Linked DNA regions of Styela clava. The main gene of each other region encodes a partner of the protein of the gene in region 2 in a complex. Links are inferred from orthologs where the notes say so. Each region holds a gene or a part of one and is shown on either strand. Other genes may lie near its edges.

What was found.
Region 1: U4/U6.U5 tri-snRNP-associated protein 1-like (region 2) and peptidyl-prolyl cis-trans isomerase H-like share a complex: the UniProt entries of both Homo sapiens proteins name them as parts of the U4/U6-U5 tri-snRNP complex. The link is inferred for Styela clava from reciprocal best matches to the Homo sapiens genes SART1 and PPIH.
Region 3: U4/U6.U5 tri-snRNP-associated protein 1-like (region 2) and U6 snRNA-associated Sm-like protein LSm5 share a complex: the UniProt entries of both Homo sapiens proteins name them as parts of the U4/U6-U5 tri-snRNP complex. The link is inferred for Styela clava from reciprocal best matches to the Homo sapiens genes SART1 and LSM5.

What each region holds. Positions count from the first base shown.
Region 1 is NC_135258.1:4,505,829-4,517,154, forward strand, and holds the start of peptidyl-prolyl cis-trans isomerase H-like, read left to right. Parts: upstream 1-6,542; 5' UTR 6,543-6,668; coding exon 6,669-6,728; intron 6,729-7,154; coding exon 7,155-7,243; intron 7,244-8,196; coding exon 8,197-8,284; intron 8,285-9,525; coding exon 9,526-9,621; intron 9,622-10,295; coding exon 10,296-10,383; intron 10,384-11,326. Other genes in the region: guanine nucleotide-binding protein-like 1, read left to right, coding at 4,038-5,867. UniProt on the Homo sapiens protein: PPIase that catalyzes the cis-trans isomerization of proline imidic peptide bonds in oligopeptides and may therefore assist protein folding. Participates in pre-mRNA splicing.
Region 2 is NC_135255.1:12,624,251-12,634,787, forward strand, and holds U4/U6.U5 tri-snRNP-associated protein 1-like, read right to left. Parts: upstream 4,738-10,537; 5' UTR 4,728-4,737; coding exon 2,382-4,727; 3' UTR 517-2,381; downstream 1-516. Other genes in the region: vacuolar protein sorting-associated protein 8 homolog, read right to left, coding at 361-411; 40S small subunit processome assembly factor 1-like, read right to left, coding at 5,853-6,557. UniProt on the Homo sapiens protein: Plays a role in mRNA splicing as a component of the U4/U6-U5 tri-snRNP, one of the building blocks of the spliceosome. May also bind to DNA.
Region 3 is NC_135261.1:7,857,147-7,867,991, reverse strand, and holds the start of U6 snRNA-associated Sm-like protein LSm5, read right to left. Parts: upstream 4,495-10,845; 5' UTR 4,350-4,494; coding exon 4,322-4,349; intron 2,853-4,321; coding exon 2,757-2,852; intron 1,909-2,756; coding exon 1,808-1,908; intron 180-1,807; coding exon 147-179; 3' UTR 1-146. Other genes in the region: uncharacterized protein LOC120329406, read left to right, coding at 10,810-10,826. UniProt on the Homo sapiens protein: Plays a role in pre-mRNA splicing as component of the U4/U6-U5 tri-snRNP complex that is involved in spliceosome assembly, and as component of the precatalytic spliceosome (spliceosome B complex).

The DNA.
Region 1 (11,326 bases), on a different chromosome or scaffold from region 2:
ATTTTGGAGTAATAATGTTTTTATTATTTTGTAGATACGAATAAAAAATTAATTATATTCGGGCACTTTACCACACATTTTAAGTCCGTGTAGTGTATTTTTGAGTAATATTATTTTGTGAATACGAATCAGAAATTAATTATATTCGGGCACCTTGCCACACATTTTAGGTCCACAAATTCCAGTAGATTTCAGAGTAATAATACTTTTATTATTCAGTAAATCCAAAAATAGGAATCAAAAATGAATAATATCGGGCAGTTCACTACACATTTTATGCTCACAAATTGTCGTCGCAACCATAAGTTACGTTAAACAAAACTAAATTAATAACGCATAATAATTTTATATGCTGGTATCGGTCATGGATATGAATAATTTGCACAACAGAAAATCATCCCAGTAAAAAGTCGAAACTTTCAAATAACATTATCAAAATTATTTGCCATGAAGCGGGAAAAAGTATTGATTATTTTCTCCAATAAATCGACTTGTTTTCCGACTTGCGACAATTTATTGGGTATCATAACAATTACGACATTGAATAATCTTCAATTTCTTGACGTAATGGAAATGAATGTGTAAAATCGTTTGAAGATTCCCGCAAAAACGAAAAACCGTGTTTACGATGAAAAGAGACTATATATTATTCAAAAATCAGCCGAAAATGTATTCGAATATTTGATTCGTTTTGGACAACCCTGTCTACGAACCACAGTCTTCTTTTCTACAATACAACAATAATTTTCGACCCAATTCTTTAATAAGGTTCGCCATTCCTGCTAGACTAACCCATCAAATTGCGTGTTCCCTGACTACTACATGAAACATTAGCGTTTTCTGACCATCAAATGTTTGAGATTGTTTTGTAAAGTTCAAAAACAATTAGGTTGAAAATTTTCAGTTGCAGATTAGTAGTAATTTGACTCCAGTGTAAATGTCGAATATTCAGGGAAGTATTTCACTGGCTTTATTTCGCTAAATGTCCGTACAATTATAGAGACCCTGCTCAGCGCAGAATGTTTTCAAAACATTTCGCCTATAAGTTTTTTAAAGTATAATTTCATTTGATTTCAATTGAAAATCTAGAAAGGCTTTTTGTATCTTATACTCACCAGAACAAATATTACAATCATTAGATATGAATATTGAACGTATTACTAGCTCAAAATTAATCCCTCATCAAACGCATTTGAACGCGAAATAACGGTGCACGAAACTACGCCAGTTATAAGCACCATTAAATATTAAACAATGCGGATATATATAGCACCAAGGTCTAACCCACCCTATTCCAAACAGCACGAAAAATTCGTCGCAAATGCGTCTTTCCTTGGAATTCAATTGCAACAGAGAACAAGACTTGCGTTACACGTAACACATTAATTTATAAGTTGCTCCTTCGCTATCCAGTAAGACATGGGTTGGATTCTGTACCAAGTAATGGTAATTATGTTCCTCAAGAAGTAAAGCATGCAAGAAGATTCCTAAAAAGTCAAACTATTCTTCGACATTTTCTTTCTGAAAAACGATAAAATGGATGAATTTGGTGGTTTTCAACATTTTGTGTTGAAATCTTCTATTAGTTGGTTTTGAACTGTTTATACCAAAATCCCTATGTTTAATTACCTTGCCTTTTGTAGATTCTTTGCCAGTGTTATACAAAAGTCGCATTTTCATTTTTACGCAGTTCAAATAGTTTGTCGCGTTTTCATGAATAATATTATACAAAAGTGAGTAATACTACAACGTATATTTCTATTCAAAGACTCTCCTCTAGATAGGAATTCACCCAATATCATAAAAATCATTTTATAGCATAATATATCGAACACATCTTTACATCAAAAGGTTATATTCAAATTATAAAACCAATTAACTTCGAAAGAAATTTTGAGAATTGAAATTAACGAAACACGGAGAATGGACTCTTCATGCAGTGTGATCGTGAATTATGCCAAAATATTTTAAAGCAAAACAGGATTCTTCTACATATATACTTGAGCAATTTAAAATATTTGTAATTGAAAAGAATTGTTTAATAACAGTATTTGGAATAGAAATATCGCAGGCTTCGGGGTGGCGTAAAAAATTGTAGGGACAATAATACCAGGGAAAAATTGATATACCATGACGAAAGAGATAAAACATATGACCTCATAAATGATGGCACGATCCACAATGCTATGCCAGCCAATGCAGACCTCTTGAAATATGCGCAACAAGCTGGCGCACAACCTGAACTCAGGTTGTGTACCAGGTTAGGGTTCAGGTTGTGCGACATCTTGGTGCGCATACTTCAGGAGTACCCAAAACTTGATGAGAGAAACGTAATAATATATCAAACATTAAAAGATTGTATTAAAATTATTAATCAGAAAAATATAAAAAAAATGTTCAAGACTTGATGAGAAAAATGTAATAATATATAAAACATTAAAATTAATCATAAAATAAAGACACGATGTAAAATCGGACAATACCTTTTAAATGAATTTTAAAATGTGAAACACTGATCAGATTAGTTCCTTAAATTTGACAATGTTCGTTTCCAAATCTGACACGCATTTCGCCATCCTTAACATGACACCCGTCAACCCACTGCCCTATTTCGCCCTCCTTAATCTGACACGCATCGACCATATTTCATCATCTCTAACCTGACAGGAATCGACCCTATTTCGCCACCCCCAATTTGACACGCTTCGTCCGCATTTCGCCATCCCTAATCTGCCACGCTTCGACCGTATTTTGCCATCCCTAACCTGCCACGCTTCGACCGTATTTCGGCATCCCTAATCTGCCACCACGCTTCGACCGCATTTTGCCATCCCTAATCTGCCACGCTTCGACCGTATTTCGCCATCCCTAATCTGCCACCACGCTTCGACCGCATTTTGCCAGCCCTAATCTGCCACCACGCTTCGACCGCATTTTGCCATCCCTAATCTGCCACCATTCGACCGTATTTCGCCATCCCTAATCTGCCACGCTTCGACCGCATTTTGCCATCCCCAATTTGGCTTTTCGTCCCTATTTCGCCATCCCTAATCTGCCACCTTTCGACCGTATTTCGCCATCCCTATTTTGCCATCCCCAATATGACTTTTATGCTACCAGCCCTCCTCTACAAATCAAGCCCTGATGTCTGTGGTTTTGTTACCGGTACCAGTAAATATTCTGATGTTTATTCAATTAGGCTATACCATGATATATTCTGGGCCACAGGCTGATATTCCCCATGTAGTACAAATACAATTCATTGGCATTAACCCAAAAGGGCCAAACCTTGAAAAACTGTTTTCAGAAAGTTGGGAAAAAATTTTCGATTTCGAAACTCCTGTACTCTAACTTTTTATTGAAATAATCTGCAAAATATTGCTGCAAACTGATTAAACACCGGTACCGGTACCTAGTCTACTGAGAAAGCACTGTTATTTTTTATATTTTCATTTTGTAACAAAAAGCCAAATTTTGATGTCAAAATTTTCAATTTTGGAGTTGTATGGTAAACCACAGCCTCTCGTCCGGTTACCATTCCATGTCGGGTGTGGAATTCTAGAATTAGCCTAGTTATTTCAGTATTTGTTTTCGGAAGCATGGACTTGATGGTGGAGGAAGTTCTGAAGTTGTAACCGACCAGCGGTTACATGAACCACCCTACGGCGGCTAAGAGTCCAGTAGTCTAATCCTCTCGCACATTACCATTTGAACCTGCGAACACACACAGAGTAATCAGAGGTGCGGTGGCGAGCATATTCCAAATGCTTAGCACGATGAGCAACGCCCCCACGCCATATTCAATAGTTCAACATTTCCACCACCTCAATTATCCCAATAATTATTATGTCTCATTATTTAAACCTTGTTTGAAGATTTGGTAACTTTCCTGATATTCCGCACTGTGTTTGGCTTGTGTATTGTAATTATTTGCACCATGACGAAGTTCGTAATAATTTATCTTCTCTATCTCTTCGCTGCCTTAGGGTGGTTCACGTAACCGCTGGTCGGTTATGGCTTTCTCCACCATCAGGTCCATGCTTCCGAAAACAAATAACTGGCTAACTATATCTTTTTATCGCAGTCTTGTAGTCTACCTTTCAATGCCGAAAAAGAAACCATTTAGTGGAAAACAAAAAAAGAAACAACTTCAGGAAAAAAAACATAGAGGTGAAGGGTCATTGACCCGATCAGAAAACAAAGAAGCATGGAAATTACAAGATCAAATTGAGAAGTACGATTCCGACTGTTCTTCTGGAGATGGGAATCCCCATGCATTTGAAACTGGACGGAATATTCACGGTAAAGCGACGAAAAGTACGAATCCGAGAGACAGGTATCGACTGAATTTTCTTCGAGAATCGAGGGATGAAGTCGACAAGCGTAAATTGCAATCACAGACGGAATTGCTCATTCCGATTCCACCGGAAAAAATGGAAATGAGTATAGAAGAGGTTTATCAACCTGGTTCGGAATTGGACATGCCTCAGCGGCCACATTGGGATTATCGTGATTCAAAACAATTATTAGAGCAACGTGAGGAAAAATATTTTTCAACATATCTTGACAATCTGTACTCCAAGTTTGAAGACAAAAATCTCAGTTATTTTGAACACAATTTGGAAACGTGGCGGCAACTTTGGCGTGTGATTGAGATGAGCGATGTCATAGCAATGGTCGCTGATGTAAGGCATCCAGTGCTCCATTTTTCTCCCGCATTGTACAACTTCGCCATTCATGTTGTCAAAAAACCTTTAATACTGGTTTTAAATAAAATCGATCTGGTTCCAGCTCCTGTTGTGATTGCCTGGAAAAAATACTTTGAAAAGAAATTTCCTGAGCTGCATGTTATAACTTTTACTTCGTTCCCAAAAAATTTACGAGGAGACGCTGCGGAAAAGCGAATTAGTAAAAAACGACCTGTTGGAAAACGTGTTTATACCACGCAAATAGGTCCGCAAGATCTGCTACAAGTTTGCAAAAAAATTTGCGGAGACAAAGTTAATCTTGAGAGCTGGGAACAGAAAATATTGAATGACCTTGAAGGTCTAAATTGTGACCTTGAACCAGAGATGAATATTGAAGAAGAACATCAAACCTCTGAACAAGGTCCAGAAAGTAAAGAGTTGTTTAAAAATGGCAGACTTACTCTTGGGTTTGTGGGTCATCCTAATGTCGGAAAATCATCGCTTATGAACGGCCTTATTGGAAAGAAAGTTGTGAGTACTTCAGTAACGCCAGGACACACAAAATATTTCCAAACGTACTTTTTAACTCGTGACGTAATGCTATGTGATTGCCCTGGTCTTGTATTTCCATCACTTGTGCAAAAACAAATGCAAATTTTGAGTGGAATTTACCCAATTGCGCAAGTACAAGAACCTTATACTCCTGTGGGGTATTTAGCATCAAGAATTCCGATTGTAAAGCTATTAGGCATCACCCACCCTAATGGTGAATCAGAGTGGACAGCTTGGGATATTTGTGAAGGATGGGCGGAAAAACGAAGGTTTTATACAGCGAAAGGACGGCGTACAGATGTGTATCGTGCAGCGAATAATATTTTAAGAATGGCTGTTGATGGAAGGTTATGTTTGTTCATGTTGCCCCCAGGATATGTCAAGGAAGAAAAATCTTGGATGGCTAATTCTGAAACGTTGAAACTTTTGAGTCTGGTCTCAGATCCTGGCAGTGTTGGCGATATATTAAGTTTTCATCAAATGTTTTCTCACCCAGAAATAGCCAGTTCTGAGCACGATACTCAAGATTCAAGCAGTGGCGAGGAGTCCGAATCTTCTCATGAACATGGGGACGGTGGTAAAGGGTTCTCTGTGCAAAATAAGTTTGCTTTACTAGGAGAGGACTGATGTTTAAATATTTCCACTATAAAAGACTAAAAATAGCATTTTTATGTTATAAGTGTGTGCATATGGAATTGGGCGATGACTTGTCAAATTTTATGTGACTTTTATGGTGTACGGTGATTAAATTACTCATTTTTTTTTGTCATTTTGATTATTTAAAATGATAGCCAGATATCACCAAGATTTGGTTTCAGTATCAGTACTTAATTTCATAAGTTCATTGTATAATTTATTCATGCTATATATGAGATTATTTGCATGCTATTGTGACTGTTTTATTGGAGTTGTCCTGCCTATTGTAATCCCTTTTGCCTTAAATTGGTGTTTAACCTCGCATCAAGTTGTTGAATGGATAATACTGTATATCTATCTTATCATATTCTAGTAATTCCAATTCCTTTGCGATGGAAGTCTATACCTGATTCCAATTTATTATCTGTGCCTATGACATTGTAATGCCCTAACAGGTAGTTTGTGCGAAGCGAACAACGTATTTCATAGGATTAAAAACCGAACTTTTTGTGCCTACAACTACTAGAAAGCCTATGTTAAATAAAGGTGCGGTCCACGGTTTCACCCAGTTATTTGTATCTGGCTCTTCTGTGTTATTAAAGGTTGCACAATCCCCGTCCTAGATTTATACTTTTTTCTGTGGATGTCAAAAGTATTTGGTAATTCAACATATAAAATTGATACTCATCATTGGTAATCATCAATATTCGATCATTTTTATCATCGGTATGTTTTATTAATTTCAGTTAATATTACTATTTATATATTTGTATTGGCGGATTGTATCCCAAAATGAGTGTGAGGACTCCAGGCAATCCCATTGTGTTTTTTGATATTTCTATTAGTGGCCAGGTGAGTGAAAATACAAATAGACTCTACCTCTTTTATAAAAAATCTAGTTTTGCTTTTAACAGTCCCAGCTTGATAAACCCTGGTCTAGTAATATTACCAGTTTTATATAGTGTGTGTTTAGCATGTTTTTGTCCATAGAAAAGGCCATTGTCTGGTGCAGGGGTTCTTAAACTTTTATAACTCGCGCCCCCTTTCTAGAATTTGTCAAGTATCGTGCCCACCTCAAAAATACCTAGCTAACAATAACAGGCGAGATCAAATCTAACAACTATTTTTATTATAATTAGCTTTACGCCTCCTCAAAAAATTGTCCACGTCCCCTTGTGGGGTGCGCCCCACTGGTCTAGTGCCATTTTCAGAGCTTTCAAGAAAAGTATGTAGTCCTATTATATATTGTTTTTAAGACTATTCTATCATCTTTTCCAGGATGTAGGTCGAATGAAAATGGAGTTATTCAAAGATGTCGTGCCAAATACTGCGGAAAATTTTAGACAATTTTGTACAGGAGAATACAAGTAAGTCCAAGTAATAAAAGAAAGCAAGGTTATTCAACACAAATCAAATTTTGATTCGATTTGAAATCAATTACAATACTCAAGAATGTGGACAGTGATGGACACAAAGGTCCAATGACTCCCACTGAAATCATTATCTAATTCAGGGTGGTCCAAACCCAGGCCCGCAGGCCACATGTAGTCCGCCGCTTCATTATCTGTGGCCCGTGTCACATTCGGAGAGTAATCAAAAAATCGCATTTTGTGTTGTTTCGTCATAAAATTAATCAGAAAAATCTTTTGACATATTGTCATCACTGATGTCACTGAATTAAATAGTGTTATGGCTAGCAGGGGAAACTAGCGAAGTTGAGTGACGTGCTTGGCAGTCTAAATTGTTATCTGGCTTTCTAACTTTTTGGTCGGGAATATATGCTAACAATATATGCATCATAGAAAACTAAAAATCAACTGCAGATTCTATTAGCTAAGAATGGCTATGCCTGATAACTATGTGTTTGCACAATAAAAGTGTTTATTTTGTATTGCACTGTTTACCTATTTTTGGCACTATTGTGGCCCGCGAACAATGCAAAAATAATATTGTGGCCCGCGGAGCCAACAACCTTGGACCACCCTGATATAATTATTCAAAAGCTTCAAATCAAAGTTGCAAATCGAATACGACCTAACAGTTTGCATTAGTAAACCGGTACCTTTAGTGCACCAGTAAAGCCTTAGCTTAGCAGTGAGCACCGACTACGACAGAAAAGAAACTGACTGGGCTGATGTAATGCCATTTCGTGCCGCAATATTAGTAAAAATAGAACCCTAATTTTCAATAAGATGCATTTGTGGAAAGGGTTTTGTTGCATTTCTATTTGAAGTTGTAATTTTCGAGATACAGTTTTTACTCTATTATTTATTATCTTTTCATAATTTATGTAAATCACATTACTTCTAATTCTATTTAGAGTAGATGGGATTCCTATCGGTTACAAAGGAGCAACTTTTCATCGAATTATTAAAGATTTCATGGTTCAGGGAGGTGATTTTGTAAAGGTGGGAATGCATTTTAGTTAGTTTTTTGGATAAATTTATGTGGCCGAATTTATGTTTAATGTAGTCACTTAAAACCCAATTATTGTGAGTAACATGGTCGTGGAGAACGACCAGAAGTCAATGATTATGCTCATTTACTAAGAGGTAAACGAGACTAATGTCTTATCAAAGTTATGGATATCACTACTGTCTACCACAGGGGTGGCCAACCTTTCACATACCATGCGCCACGTTTTAAACATAATGTTTCAGATGCGCCGTAAATCTCTTGTATTCCCACGCCTAATGTCCGCTTCTTGCAACAGGCCTTTAGTATCAATATCTACTCTACTCTACCCTCGATTCTAATTGGCCTCTGCTAATCAGCTGTTTGGCCTAGCGTTGCGTGATTTTACTCCAGGCTTCTTCGAGATTAGTACTTACGTCACAGCAAGCGATTTTACGCTTCGCTTTTGTTGACAACGGTCTTTTGAAGTTTGTATGAAAAAGGTGGTATTTAGGGGGCATTTTCAGCATTGTTGTGGGTTGATTTATAATAAATTTTTTAGGCTTGGGCAATTCAACTGGTTGTTCAATGGTTATTGGGAGATATTTGGGAAGTCTGGGCAAAGGAAAATCCATGTTTCAAGCTGATAAATGACGATTTTCTATTTTTCCAGAAGTTCTGAACTTTTTACTTCAGTAGGGAAAAAATAGTAAATTTTACTAATTTTTGCTAAAAGTCTAGAATGAATGTCATAAAGTCCGTCCAAAAGCTAACGTCGATAATCGCCTGTTGTTTCTAATTCCAACAAGCCTTAAGTGGGCGACGTGGAGTAAGGAGAATAGATTTTAGGTACAATCAAAAGTCACCATGTAAATCGCAAAAAAACGACTTGGCGTCGAGAAGCCAAGTGCAATTAACAATTTTGGCATGAAAAGGGTTAAAGATGCAATGCGCCACCTCTAATCATGCAATGCGCCATGTTTGCCGCATGCGCCATAGGTTGGGCACCCCTGTTCTACCACCTGCTGAAATTGTATATTTCCTCAATATTTTTTCCTGTTATTTGATATTTCAGATATTTGGTCCTCAAAAATGTTCAGAAAATATTTTTCTTTTGAGTTGATGAGCATATCTTTGCATTGAGTAAATTCTACAGGACAAAGACCATCCTCACATCCAAGATTGCAGGCTTTGGTCCTCACATCAACTTTGTTTTCCTCCTTGATAACCATTAATGTCCAATCCATATTTCCAGGGAGATGGGACAGGCCTCACAAGCATATATAATGGCATCAAATTTGCAGATGAAAATTTTAAAGAAAAGCATACAGGACCAGGATTGCTATCAATGGTGAGTTTCAATATCATCCACATAATAAAAAGAAAGGATTTTCGTGGTGTATGATTACTCATGCGATTTGCTTAACATGTTTTGTGCTTTGTCGGGTGGTGGTTTGAGTTAGTCAATAGCGGAAGTCGCTAAACGAGTATACGTGTATATTTCTTGCAAACAGGGGTTCAAGAACACATTAGTTTTCACATAACACCACTTTCAAAAGAGTGATTTCCCTAAACTAGGGGTCGACAACCTACGAGTAACATAATCCGGCCCGCGGCGCTTCACTGAATTATAGTAACAAAACAGCTATTTTGACGATTATATTTTTTACGTTACACAATTCATTGTGAGACGTGTATAGACTAAATTATATTACAATCAAACAATTGTAAAATTCACAACTACCTGTTTAATGAGCCTATAATTCAATTATAATCAGACAAATGGCAACAAAACGCAGAAAAGTTGATGCTAAGTGCAAAGGGTTCAATTGCGCCAAAAATGCAATGCAATGAGGAAATAAATCTATCTTCTATTCAAGAGATGTATCACTGCTTCATTTTTATTATAAAAAGTATCATCCGTTCGGTTTTCAACTTTCTAAAAATATGTGCTTTATGCTGGTTCTAAACTTTATGCTGGTTCTAAGCGAAATCTTATTTATGCACTTTCATTTGCTTGATCAGGCCAACAGCGGACCTAATACAAATGGATGTCAGTTCTTTATTACTTGTGCGAACTGTGAGTTCCTTGACAAAAAGCATGTAGTATTTGGTGAGTATAGGAAGTTTTTTTTAAATAATCATTGTTGTTTTTTATGATCATAGCAGCGTTTCCCATTCGGGGTGAGATTTCTTCCCATCAAAGTGTTCAAACGTTTTAGTGAAGGAGACTTTACTTTGTTTTGGCGTGCCTTCACTAAACACTATCTACCTATTTTGATATTATTGTATTATAGTTGGTGATAGTTGTTTACTATTCGAAAGCCAGAGTATGAGTTGCAAGTATTACTAGATAATGTATCAATTACAAAGGCAAACTTAGATATTATGCATAGTGATATAACAAAACACCGGTATAACATTTTTTATGAATTTGTTCCGTCATGTTTGGCTGCTAGCCTTTTCAGCACATTCCCAAGTCCCTTCCGCTTCGGGGTGTGGGCTTCGTGTCCATATATTTGGGTATATTCTCTTTTTAATCTACGCTCGAGGAGTAAACTACATTTTTTTACGTAACAGAATTTATCGTGAGACACGTTTAGACTAAATTTTAATATATCCTAAAAATTCTATTGACCAGCAAATCGTTTAACGAGGATACAATTTAATAATAATTAGACAAATAGAAACACGAAGAAAACTTGATGCTGAGGGCAGGGGTTCAATAGTGCAGTAAATAGTCGAATATGTTGGTTGCAATGCAATAAGAAAATAAAATTCATTCTATTCGAGAGATTCATCACTGCTTAATTTTTGTAAGAATGTATCTTCTTAAAGAAAATCTTTATCAAAATTTCACAAACCATGCAAAAATATTCACTTCGATGTTTGGAAGTACATATTTGTGCGAACAATTATTTTCGAAAATGAACAGTACAAAGAACAAGCAAAGAACTGGAATTAGTGATGCCCATTTAGAAAAAGTTCCTTGGCGTCGTAAAGCTATCAACCGCGATGCAGCAACAAGACAGTGTCACATTAAAAATCATTGTAAT
Region 2 (10,537 bases):
TTCAGTCCTGGCTTATATTTCAATGCTTGTTAATATAAATATGTAGCCTATCTAATTATGCATACATATTGAAGTGTATTTAAAATTATTGTGTTGGGTCCATACACAAATGAGTACCATACGAGAATAACCCATTGTAATTTGAGGTCTGGAAAAAGAAGTTGATAACTACTGCAAAATATCAAAGTGTAAAAAATGGAATATATTTTACTCAACATAGCAGCTTGACCATATTAATCAAAATGACAATTCATATAACCCTATTGAAAATCATGTAACTATTACTAGCAAATAACTGTAAAAGTAAACACTATATACAGAGAATATCTGTTAAATATAAAAGGACTTCATCAAACTCACCTCTTCTAAATCTTCCAGAATATTCCCATTACTAGTTTCAAGCTTGTCCATCGTGCTACAATCAGATCATTTCAGCTATGGAGCAACATTTTATTTTAACTATCAAATAATAAATAATAAAAAAAGATCGAGCGTAATAAAGGTACAAACGTAGGATCTAAAAAAAGGACAACTAGATTGCGAAAACTTATATCACAAAGTAAAATACATGTATAATGCATGTTATCATACCAAGATGTTATGGCAAAGTCAATTGTAATACACCACATCACACTCAATTTTCCTTGTTTTCCTGAAGCTATTCATAATAAATCTAAGATCAGAACCAGATAAGTTACTGCTTCAGATATCAATGAAAATAGGCAGTAATTTTACAAGCAAAAACCGCCGCAGTAAAACCAAAGTACTAATGGACTTTTAGGATTTTCTTTTCACTGTGGATCAGGGTCATCTTTTGGTCTAGGATTCAAATATGTACTTAAAACAAACCAGCTTATGTACAGTTTTTAAGCAAAAGTAATTGATCAAGAACTAATTTCTGTTACAGGCTGATAGACATACGACAATCATGTACGGTATATATAGCCACAGTAAAAACAAGATAGCCTAAGTCAAATTTTTTTAGAGATGGGCTTTTTTGATTTTTTATAACAAGCACCTGTTGTTTTTTGGATTCAATAGCTCGGCATTTGATGAGTGGAATATTGTGATACTATCCGACTTTCGAGGGTAGAAATAATGCCAATATGTCCTAATTCCAGTGTTGTTTTGAACCCTAAAAGATTTTAAAACTTTGTCCAAAATGGGGGGTAGAATATATACATATAGTGGTGTGTTTTAGGCGTCCCCAAACACACAGTCTTAGGTGCCATATGTAATATGATGTTTTGTAAAGAATATCAGATTCCTATTTTACCACATTAATTACAGAACTGAGAATAACAAAATTGTGATTTTCTCAAAATGTGACATAAACTAACTTGGTTTTACTGCGTCATGGTGTAATAAGTAGAGCTGGGAATAGTGACCCGTTAACTACTATTAGATGGTTAATGGTTACAAGTAATTTTAAACATCAACAGACATCCAAAGGAAGTAAAATTAATTCGCATGTATCAGTATTAAAATTCCAAATAATTAATGTATATGAGTGACCAAGCAGATCGTCTAGTTAATAGATGGACATTTCTGATCCATATACAATTTTCAACATTCCAAACTAATATTTATGGCAAACAGTTTTATAATCATAACATAATATAATAAGTGATATTTCACCCAATTTTCAAAGGTAAAAGTGTTTTCATAATAACTCCCAGCCCTGGTAATGAGTCTTCTTATGTGCTATCAAACTAGATTGAGATACCTGTACAGTTAGTACTTCTGGTATTACTTTCCTATGAAATTTGAAAAATTTACAACAAATATCTATACAACATTTCTAAAATAACTTATCAGTGTCTATTCACCATCACCAAATAATAATCTTTATAACCCATACAAAATTCAATCTTGTTGATTGAGGCGAGAAATTTAGAACAGAATAGCAGGTTTAAAAATAATTAAAATATTATCATATTATGTCCGATAACAACCACTGACAAAAGAATATCCTAATGCAAAACACCCAACATAAGCAGCGGATCACATGGTAATTTTCATTTTTAACATATAAATCAAGTCAAGTCAGGGCAGTTTCTAGCAGGGAGTACATTTCTAATGTTATCAAAACAAGAGTTGTTGTGGGCATGTTAACAATAATTTAGGCATTTAAAATGATATGGCCCAAAATAACATCAAAAGATTTTCATAATATGATCTGCCAATCAACTGCTACAAAGAAGGCATAAGATAATCAGAATGACAAAGTTTATGGTACCCCTGCAAGTGTTTTGTAATAGGTATTGGAAGCTGCAATGATTTACGGCTCAACAGAATGTCCCGACAACAACACAAAAATATTGATTTGCATCGATGAAAATTGATTTCATTTTTCATATGTCTCACAATTATAATACTAATCATTTCTTCAGCCCTCCACCACCAGCTTGCAATGTTTTACCAGCTCCACTTAGAACAATATAAGGACTTGCTTCGCTTTGTAATTTTTCTTTCATCATTGCTACTGTGTTAAGTGGTGTATCAGTCGAACTCATTTTCAACATCATATCTTCTTCTCCTTTCTTTTTTTGTCGTTTTTCGAGTTTCATTTTACCCGATCCTTTGCCGTGAAACCTGTGAGATAATTTTCTGAAAGCTTCTTTTGGATTCATTAATCGACCTCCTTCATCAACATACTCGATAGTTACTTTAGGTTTATAATTTTTCTTTTCTTCAAAATCCATTACAATTCCACGATCGTAGCGATTACTACGGTCTTTCGAGTATTTTTCGTGAGCGTATTTATCCAAATGATCAACTGCGTTTTTGTCTTCAATGGAATAGTTTGCAGAAAGCAGGTCAATATTTTTACTAGTTATTGTGACTGAGCTTTTTGGTTTTTCTTCCATCAGGTAACCCTTTCTCGTGGCTAGTTTTAGTGCACCGGCTAAGCCGCCTACAGCAAGAGGCTCGGCTTCAATAGGTGCATGTCTATCATCGACAGGTTCTGCCTGTGTAACTGGCTTAACTTTGGCTTTATCGTTCACAAAATTCCATCCTGACGTAACTTCTTCTTCTTCTTCATCTTCCACGTCCATATCAACGCTGTCGTCCATGGAAGTCTCTTCCATAGGCACTTCTTTAATAACATTCAAATCTGAGGCGGTTCCGAGCTGACGACAAAATTCATCAGTTGAATTTAAAGATATAGTTGTAGAATAATTGGCCATTGGATTTTCAAATGAAACTTTATTTAAAAGGTCTAAATGTTCGACGACTTTACTGGCACCGACATCCTCAGTAACCATGTTTGATTTAACCTGTTTTGCCCGTCTTGCTTTGTCCAATGCTTTTTGAAGTTCATTACTGGCATCATCCTCGTCAAAAATGACATTTTTCTTCGAATTCATTAAAGTTGTAGATGTTATACTTGTGTCATCCACTTTTGCAGATTCAATACCTTCATCCCATCCAGGTATATTTCCTCGTTGATTTCGACTTCTAGAACCAAAATCAGATGATGTTGAACTACCCGGTAGAGGTTGTAGATCGTCTGGTTTTAGATCACGTTTTCTTACTTTTCGCACTTTCTTTTTTCGTTTTTTGAACTTTGTCATTTCCTCTTCAGTCAAATATTCAGATGCAATTTTGAGTTGAGGGAGTGCTAAGCTGACTCCTTTAGCTTTAATTTCATTTTTCATCATCATTTTTTGTTGTTCCCAAGTCGTATCAACTTTTCCATAATTACCGATAGTAAATTTCTCTTGCTTGATTCCTTCAATTTCTTCATCATATTTCGAAAGCATAGACTTTTGTTTAAAAAATCCCATTTCATCAACCTCTTCCTCATCATAAGCTTTGTATCCAGAACCTTTGGACTTCACGTCCAAATTTCGTTTTGCTTTTTCAGTATCAACCAAGTTTACACCAACAAGAACATCATCCTTATCTTCTTCAAGTATATTTTTATCTTCGAGAGTCAAAATTTCTGATCTTCCTTCTTTGAACATTTCTAAGGAGTGTTTTACAGTAATGCCTTGCAAATCACGAGATGTGTATGAGTCTTTCTTTACATCGGCAAATTCATTGTCTATTAAACCACCAATACCAAATTCTGCATCCATTTTAGCCATTTCTTGTTCTCGTTTTTCAGCCACCTTTTTTTGTTTTTCCATTTTTCTACTTCTTTCTACCCAAGATACCGCATCATTTTCATCTTCATTTTCTTCTCCCAAAGTCTTGATTTTCCCCATTTTTTTGTTTAAGTTTCTTTTTTCTTTAATGGCTCGTAGTTTTTCTCTAATATCATCCTGTTTTTTCTTTTCCCACAAATCTTCAGCAGGAGCATGAACAAATTCTTCTTTCTTTGATTCGGTTGCATTACCGGAAGATCCACCGACGTCGAGAGGTTTGAGTCCCAGTTTTAACCTCAACTTATTTGTTTCTTCAATACTGAGTGAGTCACCTTCGCCATTAGCTGATGTTGGAGTGGGTTCAGCATGATGTTGTCTTGACTTACCATTACGTTCAGATTCCAACTTTTGGGGGGATTCAGAATCTCGATCTCGTTCACTTTGTTTCTTGTGTTTTTTCTTATGTTTTTTTTGTTTAGAATATGATTTTTCTGTTTCTACATCGTCATGACGTCTTCTTTTTTTTTCTTCTGGACTATGACTTTCATCTCTCTCTTCATCATCATATGCAGGACTTGAACGCTTGTGCTTTCGATGTTTATGGTCTTTCTTATGCTTTTTAGATGATCCCATCGTATTTATTATAATTAAGAATTAACCTGTAAATATTAAAGTAACAGTTCGTTTATTCAATTAAGGCTAGGCCACATATGGATAGTAAATCAAAAATGTAATACATACATCAATGACGTACCAAATTCAACAGTATTACAATGCATTTTTTTTTAATATGCCCAACAAAGTTTTTAACATTCGCATGAAATTGTTATATTCGGCAACAGGTCTCAAATCGATGATATCATTTTGTTGGGCGAAGTTTCCATCAAAATGAATGAATATTCAATTTCAATATTATTGATATACTTTAAAATTGTGAAATAACCATTCACAAAACTTGCCGTCTCGTTCCATGCATTAATTTATTTCCTTTTTTTATACTTGAAAATCTGAGAATTTATTGACATTACAACAAATAGATGCTAGTTCAACTCATTTGGTCCAAAGTTAAACATGATAATATACAGTGTTTTTGTATGAAACCAATACAAATGAAAATCATTGGAATAACATTAATCGTTCCACGTTGATTCATTTTTGTATACTACACTTGTAAAAGAGTATAATTATATGTTAGTTCACTGATCAACTACACATTCCTCAAACTTGCAAAAGTATCAATAGAAATGCAGTATGGTACAGTTCTCCAATTTCAAGAATAACCCCAACATTAGAAGACATCAATTATACCAGTGAATGCAAACCGCTCCTTTATGAGACAGTCTGGGCCTCCATATCGCCAAACTGGCACTGTGCAAATAAACTGAAGGATACACAATCTGAAAATGTCACCATTGACCATTGGATTCCCAAAAATAATACAATTTACCAAAAAAAAAAAATTTTACTGTAGGATTCAAGAGTTTTTAGCAAAAAAATGTTGACAGAAATATTTTGGTCACATGATGGCAGACACACGTAAAATTATTATCGAGACAAGCATGGCGCAAATTACCGCCGTACCAGACACCCTCGTTACAGAGACAAATAGAGTGTTAGTTTTATTGAACCAAATATAGACAGATCTTGGCATCAGGAGACTGTGCTCTATTGGAAATGACTTTCATGATCTATATCTGAGAATTGGTTTAAAATGTAATGCATCAAGTCAATGGGAAATATCAAAATAAGCAGAATTTATTATCGGCGCCTGTTTACAGATTTAATATCTTTTGATGAAAGTTTTAAAACTCCATCCTTATATTTTCCAATTTGCGGATTCAAACTTTTATCGCCTTGTTTCCAGAATTTCGGCATGCCACTCGTCTTTTCTTTATATTCGGTTCTATTGTTCGACAATATATTATTGCCAGAACTTGTATCTTGTTTCAATCTTTTTTGTTCTTCCATGAGAATTTTATAATTAACATATTTCCGTTTTGTCGGTTTTGCTCCAAGTTTTATTGCTCTTTTTCTTTCATGTTCTCTCTGTTCTTCTTTCGAAAATGCCTTCATTCCAAACGAGCCAACGCTGAATTTTAATTTTTCTAAAACTTCCGAAGAATTTAGTCTTTCATTTGTATATTTAGACTTTGGAATATTGAACTGTGAGTCTGTACCAACAATAGTTGGTGATGCTTTTTTTATTTCCGGTTCTTCATTTTTAGTTTTTTTACTTTTAAATATGACAATTTCAACTTCCTTTTTTAATTTATTATCATTTTCCTCTTTCGTCATCACCGTGGATGGAATTATGGGGGTATTGGGTTGTGTTTCTTTAGGCTGTGTTTCACCTAAAAATTCTGAAGCATATTTATCCAAAATACTTAAAATTTTATCATTATCTGCTTCCTTCATGGACACTTTGTCCTTTATTTCCATCTTATGGCGCCTACGTTTAGTCATTTTCGCGATTCAAGCCTGAAAAATAAGAGAAACAGTACCGTAAATGATATGAAATTAGATGATACATTTTTGTTATAAATTGATTTCAAAATTTGTCTGTATGTCACTTGTGCACATAAATTTGTGTGTTTCCATGCCACTGGAGCCCTTTAAAAATCGAAATTTACACCACTGCGACATACAGGTACCCTACTGCCCTCTTGAAGCGTTGCACTAGAAAGTACCGTAGTCCTGTAGTTGAGCTGTCCGCCTCCCGTGCAGAGCACTGTACTGAGCAGCGGGCCCCCATACTGAAGTATGTATTCAGCTATCCCTAGTCCTTTTACACCATTCGTTTTCAAACTGGGGTCCGCGGTCGCTTAGGGGTCCGTGAAGCGATTTTAGGGAGACCGCGAGACAGCGTTAATCTCGGCACAGAAGCACTTTGATCTGAAGTAAAGTTTTGATGTCTTGCTTTTACAGTGTTTCTACAAAGCATGACACGCTCTAACAAAGACATTATTACTGTGTTACGTAACAAATGTTGGGGAAAGTGGCAAGTACCGTAAATCGGAGTGTGTGGTTTATGGAAGGCGCGCGCATCTGATTAAAAATAAGACCCGCGGCCCGCCATAAAAAATAAATTTAGATATAACAATTCATATGTGAAATTTGGTTTTGCTGTGATAGTTCTGGAGGAAAAAAAGACCATAGTTGGACCGTCCAATCCCGATGTCACTAAAACTGCTTCATTCCATTTGCAACAACTTACGAATGTGCGGGCATCTTTTTCTATGTTACTCACTATTAAAACAAGATATGAGAGTTGCATTATCCAAAACAGAACCCAAGGTAGACTAACTAGTGGGAGCTGAGCAGGCGCACACATCTCATTGAACACTCTTAATGTCATTCAATAGATGAATGCTTGATATACTGCGTTGTTATAATTTCTTTGGTGGACCACGAGTCATCAGAAAAATTGAAAGGGAACCGTTATGCATTATTTTTCAAAAAGTTCGAGAACCACTGTTCTACACAATCCGTAGCCTGGTGGTAGGTACCTACTACAGCTACAATCGTGACAATCAATCAGCCGTTCACCTACACAGTGTCACCGTCTACATTAGGTTGTGGTAACGTGTATTTGAGCTTGAGACAAAACAATAAAATTTACAACATCACATTTTAGGATTTAGTTTCGCTCACGATGAACTGTCATTCACACAAAAAACTGAAATATATTTATCTGCACCAAAGTGACTAGCCTATAGTCATTTTGATTTGCACTCCTGCTTGTCAAAAAAACGGAGTCATGCTGCTCGGAGTCCTGAATCCCTCTGTGATCAGCACCGGTGTGCATTTGGTGATGAAATATAAAAAAAATATTCACGAAAATTGACCCACGCCTCTCAGTCCAGATCAGTAGTGAAAGCAATTTAGTGTTTTTCAGTTTATGTTGAAAATGTTGATTCTGACCGCCATGTATCTGTTTATGGAAATCTGAACTGAGACACCGAGGGTTGTGAAATTTCTGTTCCGGTTTCAACTCCATTAATGGCAAAAAATATCCGATCCCGAATCCACATATTGTGTTTTATTATGTAACAATTATTCCATATATACATATGTTAACTTCGTCATGGAGGGTTTTTATTTTGTCAAATTTTATATACGATAAAAATATTATTAACTGTGAAAAAAGTATTGCAACTAAAAATGGTAAACTGTTAATCCGCATGATGAAGAGGTGGAAATTTACAAAAAGCTCGTTTTTTAAGTGCAATGATATTTACGTAATATTGTGTTTATATAAATGTGATGTTTTTATTATAGTAAAAAAATCCACAGCCCTGGATATAGAAAATAGACAAAAATCGATGTAAAAGATCAAGCTGAGTACGTAAAACTTTAACAGCTTATGTTTCGTGAGTATACACAAGTGGATACATAAAAGTCATTTCGTTTTGTAGTGACTTTATGAGTGTGGGTTGTGCTATGCAGTGGTTCTAAACATTTGCAAGCCTTCCGAACACCTGGGCTATTCTGCAAGCCAGTATGTTCCCCAGCTTTTCATTTTAGGGGGGGGGGGGTGTTTCGAAGTTTAGGGGGTGGAAAATAATTTGCTATTGCGATGAAACTATTTGTACTTTCAAAAAATTGGTATGTATTTAAGAAACAATGTACATGAGGGGGCTCCCAAGTTGATTGACGGCGAGCCAAAATACACAGCAGAATAAAAATGTAGGGCCAGAAAAGGCGAGCGAAAAGTGCGCGACGACACGGCTGGGGTTCACGGCTGAAAATTTTGAGAAATAGGCACCAAAATAGGTTCTAAGCTTGATTTTAGATACATCTAGCATCGCAGTTTGTTATGTAATGAAATTAATAATTATAATATTTAGCTGATAGAATTCCCGAGGAATAAATAACAAGCCCGGCTTTCAGCAAGTAATTTACGACTTATAGTGACTAATGAAGTTACCTGCTCATCTAGCATATGGCATCGTATGAATGGCTACTTATGGCTTGTTTTGTTACACATTTCACATTTTTTGAACATGATCGTTTGACTTTTGTACGAATCAAGCGATGAATTAAATTTCGAAATACGCGCGTCAACTGATCATAATGGCGCATAATGTTGTATTCCTTCAGAACTGAAATTTTAGGGGGTGTGTTCACCCCCTATAGGGGGGGGGGGTGTTCACTGCTGCATTCTTCTGCCGAACCTCATATTATTGAACATTTCAATTAGCGCAATCGGAAACTTATAATAAGTAACCTAATTTTTTGTTATATATCAGTGGTTCCTACCCTAGAGGATTTTAGCACTCGTGACCTCTTGTTCACCATCTCAAAAATACGAGCATGCGTTGCGCCGTAAATATATACTACTGCGGTTGCGCACATTCTAGATAGGCCATCTCGATTTACTTTGATAAAAGCAAAGTAATTGTCGTTCTATTTTCGTTTCTTGGGAATATTAGGAATTTAGAAATATTTTCTACGTCTACCTTGCAGTCATGTGAAACTTTCGTTATATGTAGACAAGGTTCGACCGGTATCTTTAGGTCAAATGGCCTGCCGACCTACTACAAAGCTTAGAATTAGGATAGGATTTACATATTTATCTCGGGGGAGAGAAAAGCCGATAAGACGGCTTATCCATATGGCGAACCACGGCCTCTCGTCCGGTTACCATTCCAAGTCGGGTATGGGATTAATTTTACTGTATTGTTTGTTTTCGGAAGCATGGACTTGGTGGTGGAGGAAGCCGTAACCGACCAGCGGTTACGTGAACCACCCAACGACAGGAAGGAGTCCAGCAATCCTCTTGCACATAACCATCCTTACATGGGATTCGAACCTGCGAACCCACGCAGAGTAATTAGATGTGCGGTGGCGAGCGTATTCTTAACGCTTAGCCCGCTGAGCCACACCACCGCGCCGCGCCAATTTGCGGAGCAAAGTGGCATTCATAATGTTATTTTGATTTGTAAATCCCAAGTCCCATTATAACCCAACAATTCATGCACGAGAAAGTGAAAACACCATGTGAAATGAAATGAAACTAGTTAGACCGGAAGCATAAAGTATGCAGAGAAAATTGCATAAAAATCAATTTTGACACCGGTATCGTAGCCCCTTCCAACTGTTCTGTGGCAGTCAATAATAGTCATTGTTGCGTCTAATGATTTTTTTCAGTGCGAATTCTGCAACGAAATGTTCTTTGCCACAAATTTATCACTTGCTGAAGTGTTTCGTTAGGATTTTGAATGGTTGTTCCCTATGACTCAGCGCATACCGTAACTGCGCGTCTTCAACTATCCGTTTACAAGTATCTAGTTAAAACGTGTAAAATCTTGGTTGTGTATTATATTTTTCAAATAAAACGATGACGACAAAATCAATACGAAGATGCGATAAAACAGTAAAATAACTTAACTCAAAACGAGGCAGGAAGCTTGTTTATTACGGTTGAGTTGTTTGCGGTCTGA
Region 3 (10,845 bases), on a different chromosome or scaffold from region 2:
ATATATAAAATAAATTAGAAATAGTCCATGCTTGACAAGGAAGCTTTTGTAGGCAGCACTGGATTGAGCCATTGACATTTGTCAGCATATGATAGCTTTTTCTAAGCTAATAGTTGAATGAAACAAGAGAATTAAAAGAGTTATCGTCACACTTCAGGCCCTTCTCCTCCTGGAACCAGCTGAGAATTTTAAATACAAGTTACATTTGGTGATATTATATCAAATTTCTTATTATAGCGTACAAACATGATGTAGCAAAAGAGGGTAGAATTGGAAACAGAGAAACGTGTGGGTACTACATATAAAATATTACACCGCTAATGCACATATGCAACAGGGCGGGGTTTCCCAAACTGGGGTCTGTGATGAATGCACAAAAGCCGAGAGTTCCCGTAAAGTCTCTTCTACGAGTTTGCTTGTCACAAATTTGTAGTCTCAAAGTCTCCGAGAATCGATAAATTATGTAGTGAAAAGCAAACACATCCATCGCATTAATGTTGTTTGTATTGTTGTGTTGTGAATGAAACATTATCATTTATCGTCGGTTTTGCACAGAAACTGATACAGCATAGGATGGGGTGCATCATCACTAAGATCCACAAATAGTGGTTCCCGGTCCAAAAAGTTTGCAAAACCCTGCAACAGGGTGTCGTCTAATTTGTTGACCACAAATCCCACCACCATGACTACAGAGTCTGGTAATATTTGTACCAGACTGCAAACTTGAGTTACCAAAGATTAATTTTGACTCGAGAATTTTGAATCCAATTCCAGGTTTTAGTAAATTTACAGTTTAGATGGCTTGGACCAGGGGTGTGCAACCTGCGGGCCGAATGCGGCCCACAAGGAAAAATTGTGCCCGCAAAACATGTTTTTAAATTAGTTTAATTTGGGTTGTGTGGGTAATTCCAATCCCCTTGCGTTGCTTAGCCTATTCCTGAGTCCAATTCATTAACTATGCATATGACGTTAATTGATAGATAGATAGTTTATTTTGAAAACTCCATAACAAACATAAATTAAAAATGGAGAATTCTGGAGGGCAAGCAAAACCTATAAAAAAGTTTAAAACATGAGAAGTATCTCATGTGCCTGCCCACCAGCACGCAAACAAAAACACAAGCCCAGTTAAATGAGGCTTGGGCCAAACTTAAACAAAATACACGATAGTATTGAACTTTCGGGCTGTTGTACTTTTAACACTTACGTTGATAATGACCAATACAATCTCATTCAAAGATAATGTGGGGAGTGGAATGTAATAAATTTGCGACGATAGTCGACGATTGCATACTCATGAAGCCATGAAAGCTTTTAAGACCAAGCCATGAAAAACTACACTGATTGCTAGATTGGGCATTGCGGAAAAGGAAAGTGGTTTAATATACAAAGAAACGCAAAACCATGGCGGCAAATTGCCCTAACAGTTAGCTCAGGCAAGGCGATCAACGCATGTCACAAGATCAATAACCAATTAATTGCCAATAATTGTTTAATAACCAATTAAACCCCATAATTTTCGTGCCTGCAACTACAAGAAAGCATATGTAAAATAACAGTGCGGCCTGCGGTTTCACTAAGTTATTTGTATCTGGCCCTTATGTACTAAAGGTTGCACACCCCTGGCTTAGACCATAAAAACTTAGGCATATGAAAACAAAATGCCCTTTTGGTTTCTGTTGGAAATTTTACTTTAATTACCATCATTATCAAAATCCAGCAACCATTCATCAACACAGACTATTGTATTGAATCACATCAAATTTGTTACATATTAAGTTAACCAAAGCAAGATGTCTACTCTTACCATTGTTATATTATTTCCATTTAATAATATTTGATCAAGTTTAGTAATTCTTCTTCCTTCAGGTGTTGATTCAAATTCAGTCACATCTTCTAAAACCATATCTGTTTTACACTAATGATAGGAAAATTTCGAATTGTATAATGTGGGAAAATATAATACTATTACCAAACTATGATAACTAAATGGAAAATAACATTCGCATACCATGCAACATCGAAAACTTTCTGTATGAAGATTAAATCTGAATCAAAAAGAGATTCCATTGATTCAGGATAGGATTACCATACTTATCCTGATGGAGAGGAATGCCGATATAATAGCTTAAATATATTGCAAATTACAGTCTCTTATCTGCTTACCAGTATATGTCGGATATGGGAATATTTAATCAGTTCTGCAGTTGTTCGTTTCAGATGCATGAACTTGTATTTACAAAAACAGCGGTTAGGGACTCCAAAGTTAATGACAAACTTACTTGACCTCATTTTATGTAGTGAAAAAACGGTTTATTCAGACTGCGAAATGATAGATAGAGCTTAGCATAGTTTCGTTATAAAAACAATATAGGCCTACTATATACAAGTATTTGCCTTTTCTTTTGTAGATGCAGTGCACATTTTGGGCATTACATACAGTATTCAGATATATACTACTGATCCATGTGCATAAGATATATAGCATGATTGAATAGCCATTTCTAAGTCTATACCAGTTGTGTTAAAATATCAAATTCTATTTGAAAAGCGTCAACCTGTGCGAAAGATTTATACTTTTTTTTTTAGTTTGACCTCCCATAATCTGTAATAGTGTAATCCTACATATAACCACACATGTTGTGAAATAATTCAGTAATTAGATTGTTTGGGTCTTGAATCAAAACCAAGATTGAAATCAATGTAAGGCATGTGTAAGAAGATGGAATTGCGTAATGTATTATTGTGAAGGATACTGACAAAGTCGTCGAAACCAAGTAAGGTTCCAACAATTTCTTTTTCACTCTTCATGATGATGTGAATCTTGGACCCAATGCATTTGTCCACGAGTTCTGAAACAAGTTAAGCTGTTTTTTGGAAGTGTTAAAATTATTGCCATCATCACTCTGATTACTGGATTATCCTACGTCTGTACGTGGGTTTGCAGATTTAAAATCTTGTGAGCATGAATATGTGCTGAAGCAGAGTTTACCGAAATGTGTGAGTTGCTGAGTTCTCCACAAAATTAACAAAATTGTGTTATAGACTCTACATAACTAAAATATGATTGAATATTTGATTTGTCTGCTGAAAGAGTTTAGTGAACACAGAAACAGGAGTGATTTTTTCAGCATTTTAAAACAAAATCAGGTAGAGATGAGGAAAAGAGTTACCGTATCTTTCACTTCTATTCAGTCTATTACATAGGCGTACATGTTTACAAACATAACCAATCACAAAATTGAGTTTAAAAGCAGCATTTTTTCCAAACAAAAAGTTTTGGAACTGCTTTGCTCAAAGATTGAAAGAATTTGTTTACTGGTTTAGAGTGGTTCATCTAATTACACTTTATTGTTTCATCAACCAAACATTCAAGAAAATAATTTTACATGCTCCATAACATTAAAAACGGTCTTACTACTTACTGAATACAGCGCGAAACACCGCAAAGAGCGCAAAACAGCGCGAAACCGCGCAAAACAGAGGGAAACAGCGCAAAACAATGGGGAAACAGCGCAAAACAGTGCGAAAGAGCGCAAAACAGAGTGAAACAGTGTTAAGCAGAAAAAAATTTTGCAATGAGTTTGGGGCACCTTGTTGGGCACCAGCAAATTAAAAACACAAACCAACGTATGTAGCCAGTAATGCTGTAATGGCAGGTCTGCCCCTGCTGGTGACACATTTTGGGTACCATAATTTAGAACATTTTCCATATGGATATGGTTGGCTTTAGGGTTAGGTAAAAAGGGACCTCCAGAAGTATGTGCACCAAGATGGCGCACAACCTGAAAATAGTATGTGTGTGTGTGTGTAGTGGATTCAGGTTGTGCGACATATTGCTGCACATACTTCTGGAGCACCAAAAAGGTAGATAAAATTTCGTATGATGACCTATAATCCGGTACATAACCTTGTAAATATACCGGAATTAGCGCCATAAAACCATGACGAGAGGCGCCGTGGTACTTTTGTGGCAGGAGGTGGTAATGACTGCGTCTTCTGTTTTGCGCTGTTTCCCTCCGTTTTGCGCTGGTTTCCTTCTGTTTCGCGCTGTTTTTCTATGTTTTGCGCTGTTTCGCGCCGTTTTGCGCTCTTTGCGGTGTTTCGCGCTGTATTCAGTAAGTAGTAAGACCCCATTAAAACGAATAACTGTCTATCTTTTGCATAATTCACATGAAGAGGCAACTTAACCGGGAGAGAGGGCATTAACCACCACGTCATTAAGCCGTCTTTCATCTTGATCGCACACCACTCTCAGACTCTCACAAATGCCGTCTAACTTAAAGTTCCAAGGAATACTTGAATAGGTAACGGTACTCACCAAGTGGCAACAGCTGCGAAGTCGTCATTCTTATCTCTAACAACAAGGCACAGCAATGTAGAAAGTATTTTCCGAAGCCTGGACAAGCAAAACGACAATAATCAACCTCTGTCTGCTGGTCTGTCTGTGAAGCTAACAACGAACCCAAAATATATCAGACTCAATGAGTGAGCTGCCGGAGCTGGAGTCATATTTTAACCAGCGAGGTGTGTAAACTTCTGACTTCCAGTCGTCGGAGTCGTAGTTCATAATACAGAAATGGGAATTTAACTAAAAGGCATTTAGTTAACTTTTAAATTTACAACTCAAATTTGAGAATCAAAGTAATGTGTCTCAAATCAGTCTCGCTTGGAGTCGGGAGCTGATTTGCAAATCGAATTTACAATCAAAGCTACAAACAAGCCTCATTTATGTATGATGTCAATTTTTTCGATATTCAAATTAATTTTGAATAGCTTCCTAACAAGTATGCATACATGAAAATATGCCATGCATGCGAACTGCATCGACTCTTCGACGCCATTTGCATTGCATTCACCGACGCTTGACTATGAAATTTTTTTCTCTTATTTTACCACCCGACGTTTAAAACGGACATTGTGGCGAACCACTTAACTAATAATAGCCGTTATGAGTCACAATTGTTTTGTTTATGTTTTTGTCACGCATGATTACTTACGTGCTTTTCTTACGATAACTTGTCATTCTGTTTTCTGTTCGCTTGTCGTTAACATTGCTTTGTTATGGATTAAACATCAACATAGTTCAAAGTCTTTTTCTTGTTAGAAAGAAGTTAGTTCGCTTCAAATGGTGACCCCGACCTCAAAAGCATACTTTTGAGAAAAGAATACGCACATAACGAAGAATATGAGTGAAGACAACAAAGTAGGCCTAACAGCGGTATCATTAAAGCTGCCGATTTTCTGGACTAAAAATCCTGCCGTTTGGTTCCACCAAGTCGAAGCGCAGTTCGCTGTTCGAAATATCACAACAGATGAAACAAAATACCACTACGTGGTTGCCGCTCTGGATGACAATACCGCTGCCAGCATTCTTAATGTTCTCAATAACCCGCCGGAAACGAACAAGTACCAAGATCTCAAAGAGAAGCTCACTACTAAATGTTCGCTAACGGATCCTGAACGAGCTGCGCGCCTTTGTTCAATGCCTGGACTAGGGGATGGAACGGCAACGGAACTTATGGACAACATGCTTGCATTGTATCCAGTAGGTAAGACACCTGATTTCTTATTTCGCCATTTGTTCGTCAGTCATCTGCCACCAGACGTCCGGTCTCAACTTACAGACATTTTAACAACCACGGGCGACGATTTTCGGAAGCTGGCAAGGAAAGCAGATGATATTTTAACTGCAAAAGGCTATGAGGTGACAAACGCTGTACAAAAAACCAGTTCATGCAAAAAACAACCATCTCATGTTTTGTCTGAAATGTGTTTTTATCACAGGAAATTCGGCAAGAAAGCCAAAAAATGTCGCCCGCCATGTTCTTTTGTGGTTTCGGAAAACGCCATAGCCGACCGTCAGTAACCTCTTTGGCGGTCGGCGATTCAAACCTTTATTACGTCACAGACAAAAACTCTGGACGCAGTTTTTTAGTTGATACGGGTGCACAAGTCAGCGTGCTGCCTGCCACCGGTCATGACCGTCGTTACGGGCGACCAGGACAAGCACTTTTGGCAGCTAATGGCACCTCAATTACGACATATGGCACACGAAAAGTGCCTTTGACTATATGCGGTAGAAATTTTACCTGGAAATTCACATTAGCCAATGTTTCACGGGCAATTATCGGGGGAGATTTTTTGCGCTCTCACGGACTTTTGGTTGACATCAGGGGCAAACGACTTATCGAGGCAAGCACATACGCTTGTATTCCAACCAGAACCATTACTGGCACCCCGCCTTGCCTTCACTACGTAGCCGAAAACGATTTTGCCAAAATTCTGAACGAATTTCCTGATTTAACGCGCCCCACATTCAGCAACCCGACCACTGCACACGGGGTAAAGCATCATATTGTTACAGAAGGCCCCCCGGTGCACGCAAAGGCTCGAAGATTGCACCCCGATAAGCTAGCCGCGGCAAAGGCAGAGTTTGATAACATGATTGAACTCGGAATCATCCGACCCTCAAATAGCCCCTGGGCGTCTGCGCTTCACATCGTACCTAAACAGGACGGCGGGTGGCGCCCATGTGGAGACTACAGACGTCTCAATGATATGACCGTGCCTGACCGCTACCCAGTCCCAAACATACAAGATTTTACGGCCCGTCTTGCGGGAAGGACAATTTTCTCTAAAGTGGATCTTGTTCGCGGTTATCATCAAATACCTATTCATGAACAAGATATCCCCAAAACTGCCATTATCACACCGTTTGGCCTATTTGAATTCCTCCGCATGCCGTTTGGGCTTAAAAACGCCGCCCAGGTATTCCAGCGTTTAATGGATACCATCTGTCGAGGTTTGCCTTTCGTATTTGTCTATCTTGACGACATCCTTATCGCCAGTACGTCTAAAGATCAACACAAAAAGGACTTGCGAAATCTTTTCCAAAGGCTAAAAAGTCACGGTATGGTTATCAATCCTGCCAAATGTAAATTCGGTTTAAGCGAATTAGAGTTCCTGGGACATACTGTTACAAAGGAGGGTGCTTTTCCTCTCCCCAATAAAGTGAAGGCGATAACTAATTTCCCTCGCCCTTCATCTGTAAAAGGCCTTCAAGAGTTTCTTGGCATGGTTAATTTCTATCATCGGTTTTTGCCCAAAGCTGCCCAAATAATGCAACCACTATTCGCAGCACTTTCCGGCCTGCCCAAGAAGTCGAAGGTTTTGCCCGAATGGACTGACAGTATGATATGTGCATTTGAAAAAACTAAGAAAGTACTGGCAAATGCAGTTATGCTTACACATCCACAACCAAACGCACCAACTGCCCTCACAGTCGACGCTTCGGACGTTGCCTTAGGAGGTGTTCTCGAGCAAAAGTTAAATGGATCTTGGAAGCCAATTGCATTTTATAGTAGACAGCTACGCAAACCCGAGACGAAATACAGTGCATTCGACAAGGAACTTTTGGCCGTTTACTTAGGAATACGACATTTTCGTTATTTTCTCGAAGCACGACCCTTCACGGTTTTTACAGATCACAAACCCCTCACTTTTGCTATGGCAAAAGTCTCTGAGCCATGGTCAGCGCGACAACAGCGTCACCTCAATTTCATATCTGAATACACAACAGATATAAAACATATTTCCGGTAAGGATAATACTGTCGCCGACGCCCTGTCGCGCGCGGTCATCAACGACATCAATGACGGCATCGATTATGAAATTATGGCCACAGATCAACTAAACGACAAGGATACACAGGCTTACCGCACTGCTATCACCGGTCTTCGGGTCGAAGATATCCCTTTTTGCAACGGCAAATTTACATTGCTGTGTGACGTATCTACGGGTAGACCACGACCTATAGTGCCTGCCAGCTGGCGCAGAAAAATTTTTGATGCGGTTCACGGGCTCTCGCATCCAGGCATACGTACCACTCGCAAACTGATCTCACAAAAATTTGTGTGGCATGGTCTCTCCAAACAAATTGGACAATGGGCCAAAACATGCCTGGAATGCCAAAAGTCTAAAATAAATCGTCATATACGGGCCCCTTTAGAAGATTTCAAAATGCCAGACAAACGTTTTGACCATATCAACATTGACTTAGTTGGTCCTTTACCACCATCACAAGGATACAATTACCTTCTTACAATAGTAGATCGTTTCACAAGGTGGCCAGAAGCCATTCCCCTCAAAGACATATCAACTATGTCTTGTGCCCGAGCTTTCCTGTCAAATTGGGTTGCCCGTTTTGGTGTTCCACTTCACATTTCTTCTGACCGAGGATCACAGTTCATTTCAGGCCTTTGGTCTGCTGTTGCCGAATTATTGGGAACAAAAATTCATCACACTACAGCCTACCACCCACAGGCAAATGGTTTGGTAGAACGTTTTCATCGAACAATGAAATCTGCCATTAAGGCACGACTCAATGATTCAAACTGGTTGGACGTGCTTCCATGGGTTTTATTGGGAATCCGCACAGCTCCGAAAGAAGATCTTACGGCATCGTCAGCTGAGCTTGTTTATGGCGCTCCCCTCACTGTCCCCGGTGATTTCATATCAGACTCTAAAGACAATAGCTGCCCGACCACAAATCTTCGGCTTCTCAGAGAAAGAGTAGGATCATTGGCTCCAATTCCTACGTCGCACCATGGTCCTTTCAGAGCAAGAATGCCAGCCGCACTCAATCAAGCCAAGTTCGTGTTTATTCGTCGTGACGCACACCGATCTCCTTTACAAAGACCTTATGAAGGACCATTCGAAGTTTTGCAACATGGGAATAAAACTTTCAAAGTACAGATTGGAAACCGAAGCGAAACTATTTCTGTTGACAGGTTAAAGCCAGCTCATCTTGATCTCGACCATCCTGTTTCTGTATCCATTCCTAAACCAAGAGGACGTCCTCCAATCCCTAAAACAACAACGAACAATCAGCGTTCTACAGACGATCAACCTACAACCGGTTATGATTACAGAACCAAATTTGGTAGAAAAACTCGTAAACCCACTAGATTTTTATAACTCATTCCGTCTGGGGGGGTAGTGTGGCGAACCACTTAACTAATAATAGCCGTTATGAGTCACAATTGTTTTGTTTATGTTTTTGTCACGCATGATTACTTACGTGCTTTTCTTACGATAACTTGTCATTCTGTTTTCTGTTCGCTTGTCGTTAACATTGCTTTGTTATGGATTAAACATCAACATAGTTCAAAGTCTTTTTCTTGTTAGAAAGAAGTTAGTTCGCTTCAACATAATTTAAATAAAAGATGTTGCAAAAAGAAGTCTTCAGATGCATTCACGCAAGTAAAATATACTTTTCATTTTCACACACTGTCATAATTAGACGAATTACTTAGTAAACGGAAAACGAATTGTAACAAACATTATTTGCCCTCCCATAGTAACATTTTTTCCAAACTTAATACCAGATTAATAATTATAATGCCAAACGGTTTATTGCTGGAGATTAATTTCTAAATTGAGAAGTCTGAATTATCATTAATAGAATGCATAAAAAGCTGGGATATATCTACTTATTTCACCTGTTACACATTCAGACAAACTAAAGTCCAGATTATTTCAATTATCAGATGTCAGTATTAAGGCAGTATGATACTGAAATAGCAGTTATTTTCCATGGGAAATATATTGCTTATCAAGGGTGAATGATAGTTTTTATTATTATTATTCATATATAGCCATTGGATATAGACAATGATATACATATATATACGAAGTCGTGAATACTGCGGCAACGATAGTCTACTGTGAAAAATTGCAATACCTGTACTCAACGACTAACATACCCCTGTACTACAGCGTTTTGACTTTCGTGTCCATATATATATTTGAAAATCGCTCTCTTGGTTTGAAGGAAATACAACCATTTAAACAACATGGTGGACTAGTTTTTACTATTCTACATCATTTTAGCTTATGAAGCCATTGCGTAAAATGTATTAGGTAGGTTGTCAAAATGGTCTAATATTCGAAACCGAGCAAGATTGAAACAGAAATAATAAAACTAATCAGTTAGTTAGAGTGTTAGACCATCATCTGAATGTACCATTTGATGATTTAAACAAAGCTTCAATAAGTGCCATGTGGAATTGAAATTAGCACATAGCAAACAACCTTAGCCATTCGGACAACATCGGCGCAACAATTGAATCACCCTACTTCTCTGAATGAGTTTATTATACCAATTTATGACTTAATAACACTTAAGATACTTACTTACAATTACCTAATCTATTAAATTGAATATGCACCACTAAATGCACAGAAGCCTTCAACGACAAACAGGTGATCTCTTAAACCGAGCTTATCTTTACCTGCCTGATGCTTATGATGAAATCTCGATTACAATAATGATGAAAGAGATGTTATTCAGGAGTTTCAAGTATGGGATTCATTGTATGATATTACTTCGGATGAAAATCTATTTTCAGATTTCTAGTGGAATATCATTGTGATGCATTCGCTGAAATTTTCATAATTATTAGCTGTTTTCGCTATTTGGAAGTGGTATGGCATTAATAACACGCAATGCATTTGTATACGCATACTACAATATCTCATTAATTTTACTATTTACTTTAAAGTGCGCGACAAATACAAGAGCAATAAAAATAATCACAAGACAAAAGCAATCACAGTGATTATTGACGAAAACAAATTCACCCTGAATAAAAACTCCACGTTTTCGGCGTCCGGGTTACTCTTGCTTTAGATTACGTTAAGGAGCTTACGTTTTTCGCGTTCTTTGTTGACTTGCGTTTCGTATTTGGTTAGATTGTAGTTATTCCTCAGGAGTCCGTTAGAAGTTTTTTTTCAAATTGTTTGAAAATGGGAATCCTGCGTTGGTGAGACACTTTATTTTTT